Linked DNA regions of Ovis aries. The protein of the gene in region 4 interacts with the protein of the main gene of each other region in a pairwise test. Links are inferred from orthologs where the notes say so. Each region holds a gene or a part of one and is shown on either strand. Other genes may lie near its edges.

The links.
Region 1: the proteins of PEG10 (region 4) and EXOSC5 interact in binary tests that used the Homo sapiens proteins (3 or more experiments, as listed by UniProt). The link is inferred for Ovis aries from reciprocal best matches to the Homo sapiens genes PEG10 and EXOSC5.
Region 2: the proteins of PEG10 (region 4) and LDOC1 interact in binary tests that used the Homo sapiens proteins (3 or more experiments, as listed by UniProt). The two-hybrid records come from large-scale screens. The link is inferred for Ovis aries from reciprocal best matches to the Homo sapiens genes PEG10 and LDOC1.
Region 3: the proteins of PEG10 (region 4) and SIAH1 interact in binary tests that used the Homo sapiens proteins (3 or more experiments, as listed by UniProt). The link is inferred for Ovis aries from reciprocal best matches to the Homo sapiens genes PEG10 and SIAH1.
Region 5: the proteins of PEG10 (region 4) and LNX2 interact in binary tests that used the Homo sapiens proteins (3 or more experiments, as listed by UniProt). The link is inferred for Ovis aries from reciprocal best matches to the Homo sapiens genes PEG10 and LNX2.

Annotation. Positions count from the first base shown.
Region 1 is NC_056067.1:50,093,137-50,097,358, reverse strand, and holds the start of EXOSC5 (exosome complex component RRP46), read left to right. Parts: upstream 1-1,419; 5' UTR 1,420-1,420; coding exon 1,421-1,754; intron 1,755-4,222. Other genes in the region: BCKDHA (2-oxoisovalerate dehydrogenase subunit alpha, mitochondrial), read right to left, coding at 1,001-1,108. UniProt on the Homo sapiens protein: Non-catalytic component of the RNA exosome complex which has 3'->5' exoribonuclease activity and participates in a multitude of cellular RNA processing and degradation events.
Region 2 is NC_056080.1:94,166,914-94,170,273, reverse strand, and holds LDOC1 (protein LDOC1), read left to right. Parts: upstream 1-1,468; 5' UTR 1,469-1,550; coding exon 1,551-1,991; 3' UTR 1,992-2,848; downstream 2,849-3,360. UniProt on the Homo sapiens protein: May have an important role in the development and/or progression of some cancers.
Region 3 is NC_056067.1:16,329,732-16,333,703, forward strand, and holds the start of SIAH1 (E3 ubiquitin-protein ligase SIAH1), read right to left. Parts: upstream 2,818-3,972; 5' UTR 2,322-2,817; coding exon 2,231-2,321; exon of another isoform or gene 1,485-2,230; intron 779-1,484; exon of another isoform or gene 719-778; intron 1-718. UniProt on the Homo sapiens protein: E3 ubiquitin-protein ligase that mediates ubiquitination and subsequent proteasomal degradation of target proteins.
Region 4 is NC_056057.1:12,839,512-12,842,545, reverse strand, and holds the end of PEG10 (retrotransposon-derived protein PEG10), read right to left. Parts: intron 2,656-3,034; coding exon 1,443-2,655; 3' UTR 506-1,442; downstream 1-505.
Region 5 is NC_056063.1:32,661,745-32,665,261, forward strand, and holds part of LNX2 (ligand of Numb protein X 2), read left to right. Parts: coding exon 1-356; intron 357-2,468; coding exon 2,469-2,609; intron 2,610-3,517.

The DNA.
Region 1 (4,222 bases), on a different chromosome or scaffold from region 4:
GTTATATGCAAAATCTCAGTTCACAGCTTTTCTCAAGTCCCCTGCCTCTGTCTCTCTAAATAGTGGTTCCCATCTACATTTCTGCTGTGCGAGCATGCCATTAGCAGCATCAATCTAAAAGGAGTCTGCTCCTTTTGACAAGAAACAAGGCATTTCTCCACTGTTTCTCAGAAATATGGAGTAAGTGCTCTGCCAGGACCTCTCCCCTCATTAGTTCAACAAATATTCACTGATCACCTCCGCCTTAGAGTGACCAAAACCAACAAGGTCCTTGGCTACCGTTCTATACCGGAGGCACAGGCGCCACGACTTTTTATAAGTATTTTATCTTTATTTATTTGGCTGCACTGGGTCTTGCAGTTATGGCATGCAGGATTTTTAGCTGCAGCATACGAACTCTTTAACTGCCGGCACGTGGGACCTAGTTCCCTGATCAGGGATGAAACCCAGGCCCCCTGCATTGGAAGCGCGGAGTCTCAGTCACTGGACCACCAGGGAAGTCCCAGAAAGATTTTTTTTTTAACGCAGTTTATTTAAAAATCAGAATTGGAGCAAAGAAACACGGGGCACCATAAAAGTCCCTGAAAGGGCAACTGATGTCTCTCTCCTCCTCCTTGAAAGTAGACCGTATTGAGAAGAAAGTCTTTCCCTTACAAACACAATTTTCTCCAGCTCCTGAGGGGAGAGGTCACACCCTTCTCCCGTATTCTCCAAGCGGCCTCCCCTGGGGATGGGCGGCAATTAAGTAACTACCTCGCTCTCTCCAAGTTTTCTCCCTCCCTTAGGGTCACAAAGGAGCTGCCTGGCTTTTCTTCTCCTAAGGAAGTGGAAGTTATTCCCTTGCATGTCCTGTCCAAGTGGTTCTCCCAGCCCTCGTCCTTTCTCTCACAGCCCTTCCTTCACTTCCTACAGGGACCTAAGGGAACCCCCTCTCTCTGAAGACTGCATAAACATTCCTATACCTCTTTCGAGAAAACTTTCAGGTGCTCCAGGTACTCACAGATCTAGCCAGCCCACGAGCCCCAAGCAGCCGCAGGAGCGGGAGGCCCGCCCGTCCCAAGCCTCGACTTGGTCTCCAAACCCTCGCCGCCGCAGCCGCCACCGCCATCTTGGCTGACCATCCCTCGGAGATCCGCCCCTCTCCTCGGCGAGACCGGGGCTGCCCCTTCATAAGCCTGACTCAAATGCCAGCAACACCCTGCCAAGAAACCATACGCTACTAGTTCTGCAGCCTCTGGGACACACATGTAGGTGCATAAAGCCACCTAACTTCCCAAAATTACTCTGACCGCCTCACGTTAGTTATTCCTGTAACCGGCAAAGAAGAGGACAACCCGTCCAGAGCCTCAGGGTTTCAGGGCCGGGGGCCTCGGGTAGGACGAGCTCATGCCAAGGCCCGCCCACTCTTCTCTTCTGTCCAATGGCTTTCCTGGACTTTCGAGGCGGGAGTGGGAGGGTCCAGATTGTTAGTAAACGCCGAGCCACGTGCGGGCGCCACTCCTGGAGCCCCCGGGTCGGCGCGTGCGTACAGCGTACGCACCTCGTACGCAAGCGCGCGCTTCTGGGAGGAAGCAACAAGCCCCGGCTGCACGTGGGCTCCGGGGCTATGGAGGGGGCAATGCAGACTGAATCGAAGATTCGGGCTGATTCTCGGACAGAGCCCGGCCCTAGGGGCCCCGGCTGTAGCCTCCGGCACTTTGCCTGCGAACAGAACTTGTTGTCCCGGCCTGATGGCTCTGCCTCTTTCCTGCAAGGTAGGAACTACTAGGTTGTATTATTTGGTGGGGCGGGGGGCGGTTACAATGTATCGCGCTAGCTGGTAAAAATCTCTCCTGAACTAGTGCAGTTCTTGCCTGGGTGGACACTACTGTATACGCAGGTAGACATATATCTCTCCCTCCAGACTAGCAAGGAGAAGATTGTTAAAGTACGCAGAATGGGAGAGGGCAGACCGCTTCTAAAGAATGAATACTCCAGAATAGGGGAAATATTCTTACCCCGGGGTCTCCCTTGACTGGATTCCTCTCCGGTTTCCCATACACGCACCCTGGGTCCATACATCCCAGGCTGAGGCAAACCTGTTTGTTTGCATAAATACCCAGTGGACTGTCAGATCACCACTTCTGGTGTACTCCCTAGCCCGGTGGCAGATCTTTTATCCAAATAGTTACTTCTCAGATGGATGGTGATGTCCCCAGCCCCACCTCTTGGGTAAATGTCCCTTTGGCTGGGATACACAACTCTGCTTATATCCCTAAGATTGGAGCAGTTCTTACCTATTAGGGAAATATCCCCTTTTCCTAGCTAAACAACTCTGAAACTAGACTCAGTTCCCTGACGCCTCTGAGGGAAATGTTCCTCTGGAGATAGGCCTAAGGGTCACCCCCATAAATGCTTCAGACCCTGCTCTAGGGCATTACCTGAAACCCAAATACAAAACCTGCTTTCATTCATTCTTTCATTGAACATGTACCTTTGCTTAGTATTGTTCTGGACACTGAGAATAAGTAAATAAATTTTTTAAAAATCCCTGCGGTAACGGATTTGACATTCTTACATTCTAGTCAGAGAGACAGGCAAAAGATAAGTAAAATATGTAGTAGAAAACAAGAAAAATACAGTAAGGGTGTAGATTGGGGTGTGCCAGAGAGGGTTGCAGTCTTAATTAGGATGGTCAGGAAAGGCATCAACTGAGATGGTACCTTTTGAATAAACACTTAAAGATGGGACTTTCCTGGTGATCCAGTGGCTAAGACTGAGCTCCCAATGCAGAGGGCCTGGGTTCAGTCCTTGGTAAGGGAACTAGATCCCACATGGTGCAACTAAGAGTTCGCATGCCCCAACTAAAGATCCTGCGTGTTGCAGTGAAGACCCAGTACAGCCAAATAAAAAAATTTTAAAGCAGTTTCTTTCCCTAAAATTGGCTTTTTGCAGGGGGAGCAAACCCTAAACAGATCAAGAGGAAAGCTTATGAAGCATTAGGAACCACAGGGCCCTGAGGCCAAAACTTGCCTGGTGTGTTTGAGGGACAGTCAGGGGGACGGGGTGCCTGCAGCGGTGACAGGAGGTGGGGTGGCGATAAGGAGACCTGCCCCTCATATAAAGTCTAGTGACTGAGAATGGAGACTTGTGACATGCTCTGAATATATATTTTTTTTATAGATTTTAGACTTTCTGGCTGCAGTGTTGATGGCAAAGGGCACGGGGGAAAGGAGAGGAGGGTGGTGCAGACCAGAGTGGAAGCAGTACAGGTGGTGAGAGTCTGAAGGCAAACTGATAAATTGCAGCTGGTTTGGTTTGGGGGTGTGACAGGGTCAGTTTTTTACCCAGACCAGCTGTGCTGGGAGACAATGAGTTCAGTTGGGAACATTACATTTGCAAGGCCTAATAGACTCTCCCATGGCAGTGTGGATTCGGCAGTCGGACATACAAGGCTGGAATTTGGGAGTCCTTTGGCAGTTCAAGCTACTGATTGGATAGAATCAACAAGAGAATCAATATAGGTGGAGAAGAGAACTTAGAACTTAGCCCTTTGCCTTCTAGCCTGGGTGGAGCTAGGAAAAGACATAGAGAAGGAGCAACTAGTAAGGTAGGAGAAAAACCAAGAGAGGGCAGCGACCTGGAGCCCAGAGAACGTGTCTGAAATGTAAGGACCAACCGTTTTGGTCCGGCTGAGAGACTGAATCGTGAGGATGGACTAGACCTGTGGGTTGACAACCTGGTTGTCTATTGTAGGTGGTGCAGCCAAGAGTCACTCTGGGACTTCCCTGGTTAAGATTCTGAGCTCGTAGTGCAGGGGACACAGGTTCGATCCCTGGTCCAGCAAGCTTCACATGCCTTGCATCACAGCTACTTGAGCCCACACACCCTAGAGCCTGTGCTCCACCACAAGAGAAGCCAGTGCAATAAGAAACCTACATATCACAACGAAGACCCAACGCACAGCCAAAAATAATAAGTAAAATGTAAAAAAGAAAAAGCTGTTCCGGTGGAGGGGTGGAGTCGAGGAAAAGAAAGAGACAGTGAGCAGAGACCGCTCTTCAGGAACTTTGCTGTAAAAGGATAAGATAGATGGGCGAGGAGTTAGATGGATGTGGGGTCCACAGGGGAGGGAATTGCTAGAGCCATGGCCTCAGGAAGATGAGAAGAGAGGCACTCTTGTGCCCAGGTGAAGCACAGACAGTGCCTTTGGAGTAACAGGAAGGAAGACCCCGGTGTGGAT
Region 2 (3,360 bases), on a different chromosome or scaffold from region 4:
TGTATGATATAATGGCTACTGGTGTGATAAATGCTGTGCAGAGAAATGAAGTGAGGCAAGGGGTTAGAGATTACTGGCAGAGAATGGGGTGCTCTGATAGGTGAAGTGGTTAGGAAAGTCCTCTTTGAAACCCGAGGGAGAAAGAGTCAGGCAGTCAAATGAGGAGAGAGCCTTCCAAGGCAGGAAAAATAGAAAGTACAAAGGTCCTGGGGCCAGAGCTACTTGTGTGCAAGAATCAGCAGAGAGAACAATGTGGTTAGAGCACAGCAGGAACTGAGAGGAGGCGCAGATGAGGTAGGGCCTGGTAGGCCATTACCAAGACTTTGGTTTTTCTTTTGACTGATAAGGGAAAACTATTGGAGGGTTTACAGCAGGGAGGGGAAGTGATCTAACTTTTGTTCTAAAGGAGTCCTGTCCTTACTCTGGGGAATACATACACTATAGGAAGAGAAGAATGGAAGTTAAGTGGTTAGTTTCAACAGCCTGTGTGAGAAAGGAGGGCTGGGACCAGGGTGGTATTGGTAGAAGTAACAAGAAGTGATTCGACTGGGAATATATTTTAAAAGGTGTTCCAACAGAATGTGGTGGCCCAGAGGCTGTCTCCCCAACTCATTTGTCAACTATTTGAATAATCGCATTCAAAGTAGAAAAGCAAAGCCATTTTTAAAACACAAGTGTTTATTGTTAAGCAGGGGATAAATACCCAGTAGTCAAGGGACACTAACATTAGGACAGAAATAGAGTCAAAGATAGGCAGGACTCCTGCAAATGGTGATTGGATGCTAAATTTTGCAGAACTTTTTACACTTTGCTATTTACAAAAATAATTTTAAACAAAGGGATAGAAGTACACAATACTATTTTCCAACCAAAGAAAAATCCCTTTTAAATATCGCTTTGTCATGAAAGACAGGACCCCTGAGGGTCTTTCATAACTCTTACAGGGTGTGACGCTGGCGTGCAGCCAGCACTGCTAACGGTTCTTTGGGTGAGGGAGATTTCATAAGCCAAGAAATGTGTTAAAACCACTCAGAGGGAACCCAGGGGCTACTGGCCCTCCAAGGAACACCGAGATGTATGAGTCGGCTTGGCTGAAGGGTGGTGAGTCCTTTAAACCTGAGCAGGTTGAACCTCTCTGAGAGATGGGTCTTTTGCGCTTGCACGGTCCAGGCTACGGCCCGACCCACATCCAAGGTTGGGTCTTCGCCTTTATCCAGCGGCCCCCGGACCTGCGAGCGCGGACGCCGAGCCCTAGTCCGGGCCACCCCGGCCCCGCCCCTTGCCTTCCCCGGCCCCGCCCCTTGCCTTCCCCGGCCCCGCCCCTTGCCTTCCCCGGCCCCGCCCCCTCCAGCCGGGCGGTGCCTGAGCGGGGCCGTCAGCTCGGCTGTGTGGGCGGAGCTTGCGCCGCCGCCGGGACCCCTGCGCGCACCGCCCCTCGCTCCTAGCCACCGCGCGTCTCCTCTGACACGCACTTCCTGCGAGGCCTCCGAGAGCACCTTAGCCTAGCCGAATCGAGCTGCGCCCTGCCCTGCCTTTCCAAGCTGTTCGCCATGGTGGATGAGCTGGTCCTGCTGCTGCACGCGCTTCTGATGCGGCACCGCGCCCTTAGCATCGAGAACAGCCAGCTCATGGAACAGCTTCGGCTGCTGGTGTGCGAGAGGGCCACCCTGCTGCGCCAGGTACGTCCGCCGAGCTGCCCTGTGCCCTTCCCCGAAACGTTTGACGGCGAGAGCTCCCGGCTCCCCGAGTTTATCGTGCAGACGGCGTCTTACATGCTCGTCAACGAGAACCGATTCTGCAACGACGCCATGAAGGTGGCATTCCTGATCAGCCTGCTCACCGGGGAAGCCGAGGAGTGGGTGGTGCCCTACATTGAGATGGATAGCCCCATCCTGGGCGATTACCGGGCCTTCCTCGATGAGATGAAACAGTGTTTTGGCTGGGATGACGACGAAGAAGACGAAGACGAAGATGAAGAAGATGAGTATTAGGCCCGGAGACCCTCGGGCCTAGAGGGGGAAGGGCACTGCCCTCCGCCACCCCCGCTGCCTCCCCGCCTCGCCCCGCCCGGAGCCACCGCGCTCCCCTAACGCTGTGATCCCCTGGCCTTTCCCTCCCCTCTGGTTGTCTTCCTCACCCTCCACTCTCTGCCGTAGTGCTTGTCTTTGTTCCAGGCATAGTGCTCTCTAGTCACCTGCTGCTGAGGCTGGGGCGTCTCTGAAGTGCACTCTGCTGCCCACTCTGGCCAGCCCCAGGACCCTCACTGCTCGTTAGAACTGTGTTCTGAGCCCCAGCTCTAGGGCAAGCCCCTCTTACAAACCGGTCAGCCTATACTCTGCCTTGCTGACTGTCAGGCCTGCACCTCTGCCCAGCGACCTGCGCTGCCACCCAAGCACCCTCCACCAGATTCCAGCGATAGACCCGGCCTTTGGAGATCAGGAACAATCTAGAAGATGCCTTTGTGGGCTACACCTCCTGGGACACTGATTTGGACTGCTCACCAACAACTCCACCCCCCTCCCCAGGGGCTAATCTTTCAACTTGATTAATTGTTCCCTACTAACTCCAGGTCTTCCTCCTGGCCCACCAGATTGCTGCAGGGGCCCATTGTGCCTGGCAACCCAATTGTTGACATTTCTCCTATGCATCAGTTTTGCACACCCGTCATCTTCATTTCAAAATTGCAGCAGTCCCATCGAGGTGTGCATTTGGACAAAAATACTAAAAACCGAACAATACAAACAAAAGCAAGTACTCAGCCCAGCTCCTCAATGCTACCTGGAAAAAGCATTTGCATTCTTTTCAATAAATTTCAAGCACTACCAAAAAAAAAAAAAAAAAACAACAACAGCAAGTGTCTTTTCATGGTTAAGGGCTATCATTGGCCTTTGCCACTTTCACCCTGACTCATTATTCCCACTGGCATCAGGGAATCTCATTCAACTTTCAATCTCTGTACTCCCCACTGTCACGACTAAACTCCAGAGGACAGTTACTACAGGGCTTTATGGGGAAACTGGTACTACCCCCACTGATGCCTTTCTTATAGCCCTGGTGAAGGGAGTGTTCTCTGGTGCTTCTGAGGTGGCATGGGTAAGGGGTGGCTGAGCAGGCAGGTGGCACACCATCCCAAACTGGGACAATTTTGAGAGAGCTTCAAGGGGACACTATTAATAATTAGACTGGAACAACAAGTACAAGTCAGGACACACAATATTTCTATTTTCATGAACTTTGGGGTTCTTCCTCAACATGGTCAGAGATGTTCTGCCTGTTAACTCTTAGTGCCTGTGGGGTGCTATTGATTTTAGGCTTCAATACATAGTGTAGCACATTGTTTTAAAACCCCTTTTAGGTGCT
Region 3 (3,972 bases), on a different chromosome or scaffold from region 4:
TTAAAAACTCATCCTTGAATGGACTACATGGAATAAACGCTAGAACAGAAACCTGGATCCTAAACCACTAAGGAACACTGTATAAACAGTTTAAGTTCAATGAAATCAGTTCTGACTGGAATTTCCCCTGCCTGTGTTCAACTGCCCTGCTCATTCTATTTCTTCCCCATTCTTAAGTCAGCTGTTGACAGCCTCAGTGAGTTATACATGATCCAAAGGATCACCAGGGTACTGGCTTCTGATTACTCTTTCTAAGGGTGAATATTATCTGCTAAAGAGATCTATCTGGGGAAGGGAAGGTCTCCTGCCATCCCATCATCCATCTCCATGGAATGTTAACCCCAGCTAGATCTTCATCTTATTTCCTACCCATCTGTGGCCCCCTTCAAAAGTGAGGAAGCATATAGGAGAAATAGAGGACCACCCTCTAAAAGGTATGAGTCTGGTATTCAGAACTAAATCATTCTGCTCTACTTCCGCTCTACAATATAAATCTGGTATAATTTGCAAAGAGGAAGGAAAGTCAGGAAAAGATAAAGAATAAACAGTATCAGAAAGACACAACATTAGGGGTGAGGGACAGAGTCAACAGGTAAAGAATTCCTTATATTCTATTATAGAGTTCACCAGAGTTGCTGAAGCATTCATCAGCACAGTACTAAACATTATTTAAGAAATAAATGCCATCTGGAAAAAATGATCAACAACGTTAACTAACCTGTCAAGCTGAATTAAAGATAAAACAAGCGCCTTTTCCCAGGATGTAGTGCACTGCTTTCTTGGGGATGACAAAAAATCAGTCCATTAATGTCCTAAGAGTATATACTCAATAACCACAAGCCATATCTCTACAAAATCAAAATTTAACAACTCCTAAAAGTTAATGTTTCCTTAATTATAATTGTTATTCTGTTAGAATTCAACGTTGAAAAACTAATGCTGGTTATCAATGAGACCACATAAATGCAATTTGGATTCTATTACTCATAGACAGGGCATCCCAGGTGGCTCGGTGGTAAAGAAGCCACCAGCCAAGGCAGAAGACACAGTACCGATCCCTGGGTCGGAAAGGTCCCCTGGAGGAGGAAATCGCAACTCACTCCAGTATTCTCACCTGGGAAATTCCCATCGACCAAGGAGCCTGGTGGGCTACAGTCCACGGAGTCACAAAGAGTCAGACCCCAGGTACTGATCGACTGAGCACAAGCACACACTCGCAGATTACTCAAGGACAGACACCTTAAATGGGGGTTGAGAGTGAACCCTCTCCCCCAGGAAACCCCAAAATAGGTCAATTCCACTGTCACTAAAGGAATATTCTAGAGTTCACGGGGAAACAAAAGTATCACAAGGATTCTATCATAACATGGCTCATCGCATAGATTTAAGACAACAGGAATCAACTCTCATCACTGAAGCCCTGTATAACCAGTGTTCAGCCCAACAAAAACACTATAAAGGAACTTTCATGAAATCCAGTTTACCTCTGAGATTTTTTCTGCATATGATGATCCATGCATTTTATTTTAGGTCACTAGTAAAACAATGGCTTAGCATTGCTGAAGTGTCCCGTATGTATGCTTATTTCATGGTCCATTTTATGCGGCTCATTTAAGAGAGCAACATAGTAACTGGGAAGTAATTCCCTGGGCACAAAATCTAAGCTGATTCCTTTCAAATCACTAAACCAAAACCAGCTGGTCACTAAACTCAGTTTGTATTCAACATAATATAACTACTAAGCAAGAAAAATATTACTGTTTAATTTTGTGACCTAGAAAAAGTTATACATTTATCAATAGTCCAGATTCACATTATAATATACATCATTATTTTCCCAAACATACAAAGCACAACTTAAAATTACTATTCAAAGTGTGAAAACAAGCAAAATATGGCTTCAATTTCTGGTGAATTTAAGTATTACAGGACAGTAGCTGCTAAAACTTCCCAAAGTTCGGCAGGCGGAACTCAGTCCATCTTACACAGAAAAGTAATCCACACACAGCACAGCAGCCGTGCAGTAGGAACCAAGGACTTAAGTGTCTGGACAGCTCTGCAGCAGTCATGACATAACCCGAAGTTTGGTTTAAACTGAGAAAAGCACAGCTGATCAAAAGAAATCACTGCCTGCTCAATTTTGTTGCAGCAATTCCCTGGTCCGTTTCAGAGGCTCAAAACAACTTTCCCGTTCCACAGTTTAAGCAACACAGTCTCTTAATAGCAGTACCTTTTCTCTTCCTTGTCCCAGATGCTGGTAAACAAGTGAGCAAGATGCCTCTCCAGGAGTACAGAAAAGGTAAGGGAGACTTCCCGGTCATAAGTCAGAGAGCTCATAGCCTTTCCCCCAGAAGCAAAGACAACTTGCAACGGAGGGCTCTCCTGGATATCTTCTGTTACTAAACATGTCCCGGGTCTAGTTTTCAAAAGAAGGCACATGCCCTACTCCATACACTCCATTCACTCCTCAGAAGCACTGGCTACTGAAGAAGAGAACTGATGCCCCCTCCTGTTCCAAGAGGAGTCGACCACACCTCCCCAGGAGCTGAAATTTGCCTGCGTCTCCAAAAATGGGAGCCATTGCTGAGCTGTCCTCTGCTGGGCCCTAAACCTTCGTCTGTCTCGGAAGTCTGTCTTCCCCAAATTCATCGGCTAGGCTCCTGCCAGCTCGGTGAAGAACAGGGCAGAAGGGTGCGTAGAGGCCACTGGTCGACTACGTGCGCTCTCGGTGCCAGCTCAAGCTACTACTGCAGGATCCGGCCCGCAGGAGGGAAGCCTGCGCCAACGCAGTGCCAGGGGGCCGCAGGCTCTCTCTGCACAGGGCGGCGGCTGCCGCGGATGGCGAGAGGCGGGGCGGCGTGCGGGGGCGGGGCTTAAGGCTCCGCCCCACTCCGTCTGGGGCAGCTCCCAAGCGGCTCCTGGGCAAGGAGCGTGCAACTCCCACCCAGGCACCCAGCCGAGTAAAACCCGGCGTAAAACCCCCCCGATCCTCACTCCCCGGCGATACTGCGCAAGCCATCAGCTTACTAGAAGGCTGAACTCCATTTCTGTAGGCCCAAACAGTCGGATATGGGCAATTTTGCATGGTTTCAACCCAAAGGTCTACACAGAATATATGGGAAATACGCGACCAGACAAGCATCTCTGCACTATATTCTGCCAGTTAACCCTGCGGACGCTAGATTTTTACAAAGTAAAAGCATTCTCCGTACTTCGTTCAATAACTATTTGACGGGCGTTAACTACCTTATCTCCACAACTGTAACTCGCTTCTCCATTTTTACCACCATCTGCACCTTAAACTCCTTCTCCCTTCGAGATTTTGTAGTGAGAGTACTAAGCACACATAACCATATTAAACTCCTGCTTTAACCCTCAAATTTAGATTTTATTCTCTTCCCACTCTAGGAAAACCATCTTAAACGGCCTCATTAAACAGAGTAGCTTGTTTTGTTTTTAAATAAGCATTACCCTTGCCCCAGTAAAGTCCAGGGCCTCCAATCTGCATTGCGTCAGCTCAGGCATTCAGAGGTTTAACCTGTCATTACATCATGCTTAGTGCAGCCTTTAAAGGCACCAAGACCTGGTGTGAGTGTGAACCCTGTGCTCTAAATTGGCCATTTTTAGCATAAAATTTTAACTCTTGATCACTTCCCCACCCTATTAGTAGTGTGTTCAATCACCTCAATGTCATTTTGGTATTAGGCTACAGAAAACATCATTAGGAACAGAAATATAACTGAAAAGTCTGTTCACTGAAAAATATAAATTACAATAATCTATGTTTTAATTTTCTAATACATATTCATTCTAAATAGGTCTCAGGTTTCTAGACCAGGAGACTCCAAATGTTTTAGAGCAGAAAAACTTCAGACAGATTTAGGACAGAGTCCAAATTTGTAAAAACAAGTAAAAGGGATGACATTTCTCAAGCAAAAAAATGTTTTCCCAGACTTCCAAAGAACCTATACA
Region 4 (3,034 bases):
CTGGGAAGTAAACTTGTTACGAATTTTAATTAGGTTGGCAGTTAAGGTGGAAAAGCAGAGATAATTTGTTGGTAAATATTTTGTTGCTCCCACCAAACAGTGGAGGTCAGTGGGTGCTTTGAGATGGGTGTCAGTCCAGGGTGGCCCTGACCTTCTGTAACCATTTCAGAGGAAAGCCTGTGCTCAGGTTGGTCTGAAGGTGCAGTGGCCCAATGTAGCACACAGTCACTGATGAGAAGCTGAACAGGAGTTCATTTTGAGGGTAGAGATCCTGAAGGGCAGGATGCCTATTCACAGGGTGCTGTAAGAAGGAGGCGGCGGTGGCGGCGGGGGTGGCGGCGGCGGCGGCTGAGGCGGCGGGTACTGGGGCCCTGGCGGCTGGCGGTACCAATGGGGATTCCAGGTGATCACCACGGGGACATAGAGGGATCGCCCGTGTCCATCTCGCCCCACGGGGTACCAGGCGAATCCTACCGGGTAGGTCGGGTACGCGGCATAGGCGGGATAGGTCGGATATCCTGGAATTTGAGGTACGAATTCAGTGTACGTTGCCAGGTGAGCTTGGTCATCTAAATTTGGAATCGTGAGTCGAGGATACTGATTCTGGATGGTGACGCCGTTGGGACCCCGGCAGTCGTAAGAAACTTGCAGCTTCCACCCTCTCTTCACTTGGAGAACTTGGGCTCCGTTCGGCGCGATGGTGGGAGTGATCAGCCCATCCTTCACGTGTCTGGCAATGAAATCTCGCAAGGCTGCCATTTCAGACTCCGACAGTGAGTACACGTGCCCGCTGGGAATGCTGTGTGCTCCGGGGATCATCTCTATGTTAGGGTCCACCAGACGGTTGTCTGGGTAGACGTTCTCATCCACTGGGGTGTACACATTCTGCACGTAGTAGTATCTCACAGGCTGGTAAACTCTGTACCCCTCTACTGGGTAGTAGAACACGGGTTGCGCTGGTGGCGGGAGAAGTGGTGGTATTGGAGAGTACATCCGGCAGTGGTATCTGCAGTATTCGGAATCGAAGACGATCGATCGGGTGCTCCACGTGATGTTGGGATCGTGTGTGCTCAGCCAGCGCACCCCCAGGACGATGGGGAAGAACGGGGACTGAGTCACATCGAACGACAGCACCTCGCGGTGATCTCCCAAGTCGACGATCAGGTCATGAGTTTCGTGGACCACTGGGCCCGATGCTATGGGACGTCCATCAATTGCTTCTACAAGTATGGGCCAGTCCTTGATTCTCAGAGGAATGCCGTTCTGGGCCACGTACTCGTGATCAATGAAATTGCCAGAAGCGCCAGAATCGATCATGGCTCGGACGAACAGGCTGTGTCGGCCCGGGAGATGAATCTGGAGCATCACTTGCAAGTGTGGAGATGACGCAGCATCATCTTGGGGGGACCTTATTAATTCCGGCCCGGTCGCTGAAGGTCCCTCTACAGCGGGGCCGGGGAGTTTCCCGCCGGCGAAGCCTTCGAGGCCTTGGCAGGACAGTTGTCAGCGTAGTGGCCTCCATTCCCACAGTAGAGGCACAGGTTCAGCTTGCGACGTCGCTCTTTCTCTTCCTGCGTCAGGCGCATGCGGGCGCCCCCCACGGGCTCGGTCGGGTCTGCCTGGTGGTGGTGGTGATTGTTGACTTGCGAGGCCACCAGCGCACGCGGCGGGGATCGCGGCTTGCGGGCAGCGGCCGCCCGGGCCAGCCTTCTCTCAATGTGGATGCACTGGCTGATCAGCGCCGACAGCGTCTTGGCCACTTCGAGGTGCGCCAGCTCCGCCTGGATGTGGTCGCTGAGGCCCTCGTGGTACTGGTCGATCAGGGCGGGCTCGTTCCAATCCAGGTCCTGCGCGATCATCTGGAAAGCATTAGAGTAGTCGACCACCGACCCCATTCCCTGGCGCAGACGTCTGATCTTGCGTTTGGCGGCCTCGCGCCGCTGGGGGTCTTCGAAGACGTGCTTCATTTCGGTCATGAAGGCTGGGTAGTTGTGCATCAGGTAGTGAGAACGCTCCAGTTTGGCCGAGGCCCAGCGGGCGGCGCGGCCCGTCATCATGCTGGTCACGAAGCAGACACGCACGCGATCGACAGAGAAATCGCGGGTGCTCTTCTCCATAAAGAGCTGGCACTGGGACATGAAGGGAACCAGCATGTCTGGGTTGCCGTCAAACTTCTCAGGAAGGTCTTCCGGGCACTCCTCTTCTATAGGGGTGGCTGGGGCGGCAGCGGCGGCCGCGCCGCACAGCTCAATGTCGTCCTCTTCCTCCTCGGCGGCGGGCTCCACTTGCTCGCGGAGGGTGGTGTTCTCCTCGGTGAGTTTCTGCACCTGATTGTGCAGGTTGTTGTTCTCCTCGGACTGCTTCATGACCCTCTCTCTGAGGTTGTTGATCTCTTCCGAGAGATCCTCCCGCCGGCGTTCCCCCAGGTTGGGGTTGTACTGGCCCCTCTGGCTGCTGCAGGGGGAATGGGAGGGGGAGGAAGGATCGTTGGGGGGAGGAGGAGGCGGAGGTGGTGGGCAGTCGGGCCCCAGGGTGATGGTTGGGGTGGGAGGAGACCTCCCAGGCGTGGTAGCTTCACTCCTGTGGGAATGGAGGCCTGTGTCCTGGCCTCCGCGTCCACCTTTTCGCCTTCTGGTTTTCAGAAGCTTTCTGTTTCTGTAAGTGAAGATAAAAGCATAAATTCAACACATACATTCAAAGCACCACAATAGGAAGTATCTGCTAAAGTACTTTAAATACATGAGTATTTAAAGTATCTCTTTATTCCCCTTGTTTACATCAATAGTTAATAAACAGACCAAAGCCCCACAAAAAAGATGTTAATCAATTAGGACTGTGGACAATGAAAAGAATCCTCTTTGATGTCCAAATGATCCTTTCCTCCTCAAGAATCACCTGTTCATCATAATTTAACAATATGCAACTCTTATAAGCAGCATGGTTACCTTTACTGACTAATAAATAATGTAGAGATACTCCAAATAAGAACCTTTATAAGCAGAGCAAGAAACCTTCAAGGCAAAGATTGATACCA
Region 5 (3,517 bases), on a different chromosome or scaffold from region 4:
ACATCAGCAGTGTGTCACACAACTATGCCCGGGCCGTGCTGTCGCAGCCCTGCAGCACTCTGCAGCTCACCGTGCTTCGCGAGAGGCGCTTCGGAAGCCGCGCGCACGGCCACCCCGAGGGCAGCGCGCCCCGGGAGGAAGTCTTCCCAGTGGTGCTGCACAAGCGGGACTCTGCTGAGCAGCTAGGCATCAAACTCGTGCGCAGAACCGACGAGCCGGGGGTCTTCATCCTTGACCTGTTGGAAGGGGGGCTGGCGGCCCAGGATGGTCGGCTGAGCAGCAACGACCGGGTGCTGGCTATCAATGGCCACGACCTGAAGCACGGGACGCCTGAGCTGGCCGCCCAGATCATCCAGGTGAGCCCTGCCCGCGCCCACTGCGCTTGCCCAGTCTCCCCTTGGAGCTCAATGTGCGTTCCCAACAGCAGGTAACAGTGATTGGTCCGGGGTGGTGCAACGTCACCTCACCATCCAGCCAGGCCACCTAAATTCTTCCATACTGTCTAATCCATGCTAGTCCTGCCTCTTCCCAGCTGATCTACACCCCCATGACCTTCTAGGTGGGCTGTTTCTAAAGGCCCTTTGGTGCAGGTGGCCGGTGGTGGTGTCCACACTTCACATGTGGACTTGTGGGAGCAGCAAGACCCCAGGGGCTGTAGTCACCGAAGGTGCGACTCACCTGGTCTCTCCACTCCCCTGCACTTCTCAGTCCATAAAAATAGGGGAAGGTAACTTACTATTCAGAGTATCTCTATAGTGCCTTTTTAAAAAAATATAATATTCTCTGGAAGTAGGTTGTCATTATTAGAGAAAAGAAATGTATTTTCAGTAACAGCATCAAAACAGATGAGTTAAAAACCAGAGACGATCTTTAGGTTCTAGGATGCCATGGCATCTGAGGGGGAGTGGGGAAGGGAGGGGGCTTCCCACAGCCTTACAGAAAGGTAAAGCAAAATGGGTTTTCTTAAGGAGGCACAACACATATTGCAGTGGAAACCAAGCATCTGTTAATTGAATATCTGAAATTAAGATAGGTTGATAGTCATGAAATATGTATATGTACATAGAATCAAATAACCGTGAGGTTTTAAGACTAAGAAAACCCAGGTTTTGCTCCCCCTTTGACCTACTCCCCCCCGCCTTTTTTTTTTTTTTTTTTTTCACTTTTTGGTAAATGTAGCCTTCAGGAAACACTCAAAGCCATACTGCACTGAGAGGAATTTCAGGCATTGGTCTTATTTCATAGACTTCAAGCTTAAAGAAATCGAATGCCTTGACATTCCCTCACATCAGAGGCAGCACTCAGGGCACCAGGGGCTATACCTGTGGGTTGCATCAGCTGCTGCACTGCTGAGAACAGTTTATCTTGTGTGTGGGGGGGAAGTTAACCCAGTTTGGAAATTTGTTAAAGGAAATGAGTGAGTTGCATAGGCTTTTTGAAGTGAGAAGTCAGTAAGATAGCCAAGAAGAGAGCAATATATATTGACTGTGTCTCAGGCAGTGTTCTAAATTTCTAACCAAAATGTGGAAAATATAGTTACACAGGTAGAAAACACACTTAAAATTTTTCATCAGTAATACATTTATTTGGATTTTTATAATTTAAATAGTTACATCATATTTTGTGTTGTGATTTTTTTCCCCCAAGGCATAGAAAACTCAAGTTGCTCAATTTAAGTTTCTTTTTGAGAAAAATGAATGGGTTTGACCCCTGGGTTGGCAAGATCCCCTGGAGAATTCCATGGGCAGAGGAGCCTGGCAGGCTACAGTTCGTGTGGTCACAAAGAGTCAGACACAACTGAGCAACTTTCACTTTCATTAATCTTATTGAGGATTGTAAAAATAGATTCTGTGTCTAAAATGGAAATAAAATACCAAAGATAAAATATTGAAAATATGTTAAAATTGAATTTGCACTAAACACTGCAAGCGATGTCAACATTGTTTGGAGAACATCCTTACAAACTCCTGAGTGTATATGTCCACAGACAGACACACATTTATGCAACACATGCACTTACCTTGTAAGTTCTGAATTTGCAGCTTTGTGTCTGCAGTATGTTGTGAACATCCTAACTATGAAAGGAAGTGTAGAACTGTGTCCTGATCTTCACCAGCTGGTTGACTCCGTCATCTCCTATTGACAGACTTGCATGTTTTGTTTTCATTTTAAAAGAAAGTTACCCTTCAAGAAGTCCTGGGGAGGAAGAACACCTTCTTGGGGAGGTGGACTGCTCTGCCTGGGTTGTTGGGGAGGGAGGTCTGGGGAGGGTCTGTCCAAGAGCTGTGTGTGTATTTCAGCGGCAGACACCTTGAACCACAAGCTCACAAGACCAGCTCCCTTCCTCCTACCACCAGGCACTTGCAGCCACCCCAGGCAAGGCGCTGGCGCAGTGATGGGAAGTACTTGTGCTCTGCGAAATGAGAAACATCGGTAATGACTGGTGGCTGTGTCTGTATTTCCTCCAGGCCAGCGGAGAGAGGGTGAGTTTAACAATTGCCAGACCAGGGAAACCCCAGCCTGGAAGCACTGTCCGAGAAGCAGGAACTCAGAGCAGCAGCCAGCACCACGCACAGACGTTGCCTTACAGTAGACCCAGCTCGCATAAGGTGAGGCGCCTGCTCATGGTTCTGAATTCATCCACCCTCCAAGGATAAGTCATTATAAGCTGGTGACACTGGAATGAGGGCTGTGCGCTCCTGGAGAAGGTGCACAGAAGTGTTTGTGCAGTGTGTGTGTCCTGCCACCATGGAGAGTGCCTGTCTCAGTCCCTCAGTCAGTAGTTTCTTGGTGGGGAAGGCCTCCTGCCAGGTGATTAATGAGAAGTAATTGTCCAGAAAAATCTTTGGTTTGTTTAATTCTGTTTGAAAGTGGGACTTAACTTGCTCATTTAAATGAAAAGTTTACATAATTGAAAAGGCATAATGAAGACAGTGATTGACAGCCTGTACTTAGCAACTGTAGGTAGCTTGCCTAAAACAGAATTAGACATGTGAATATTAAACATATAACTCATAAATTTTGACAGCTACATGTATAGCATATATAATTTTATCTGCTAGAACAGGAAGACTATTCTAGAATAGGAAGACTACCCTAAATCTTTTTAAAATTCCTGTATGTTTTATCCCTGCTTCTTCAGTATTTCACTGGTTTTATAACATATTCCAAAGTCTTTTACTTGTGCTGAGAATTTTGATACTGTCTCACTTAAGTTGCAGAAATTTAAAGAGGGTTTGTAGTTCCTTCTTGCTAAATGAGCTTCCACAGTCAATCTCTTTAAGTAAAATTAAATTTCTTTACTAAACAAAAACATCTGTTGGTCTGCTTAAAACCACAGGAAGTTCCCTGTGTGTTCAAATGACTTAGTGTAAGGAGAGTATTTGAGAGAATACTTACCTTTGGAATGTCACAGGGACCCTGAGAAAAGCACCCCTTAACAGCAGAAGTATTTTTGGCCTGTCAGGTGTATCTGATTTCCTAGCTTAAGTACAGACTTGTCACTGGTTTCTGGTTA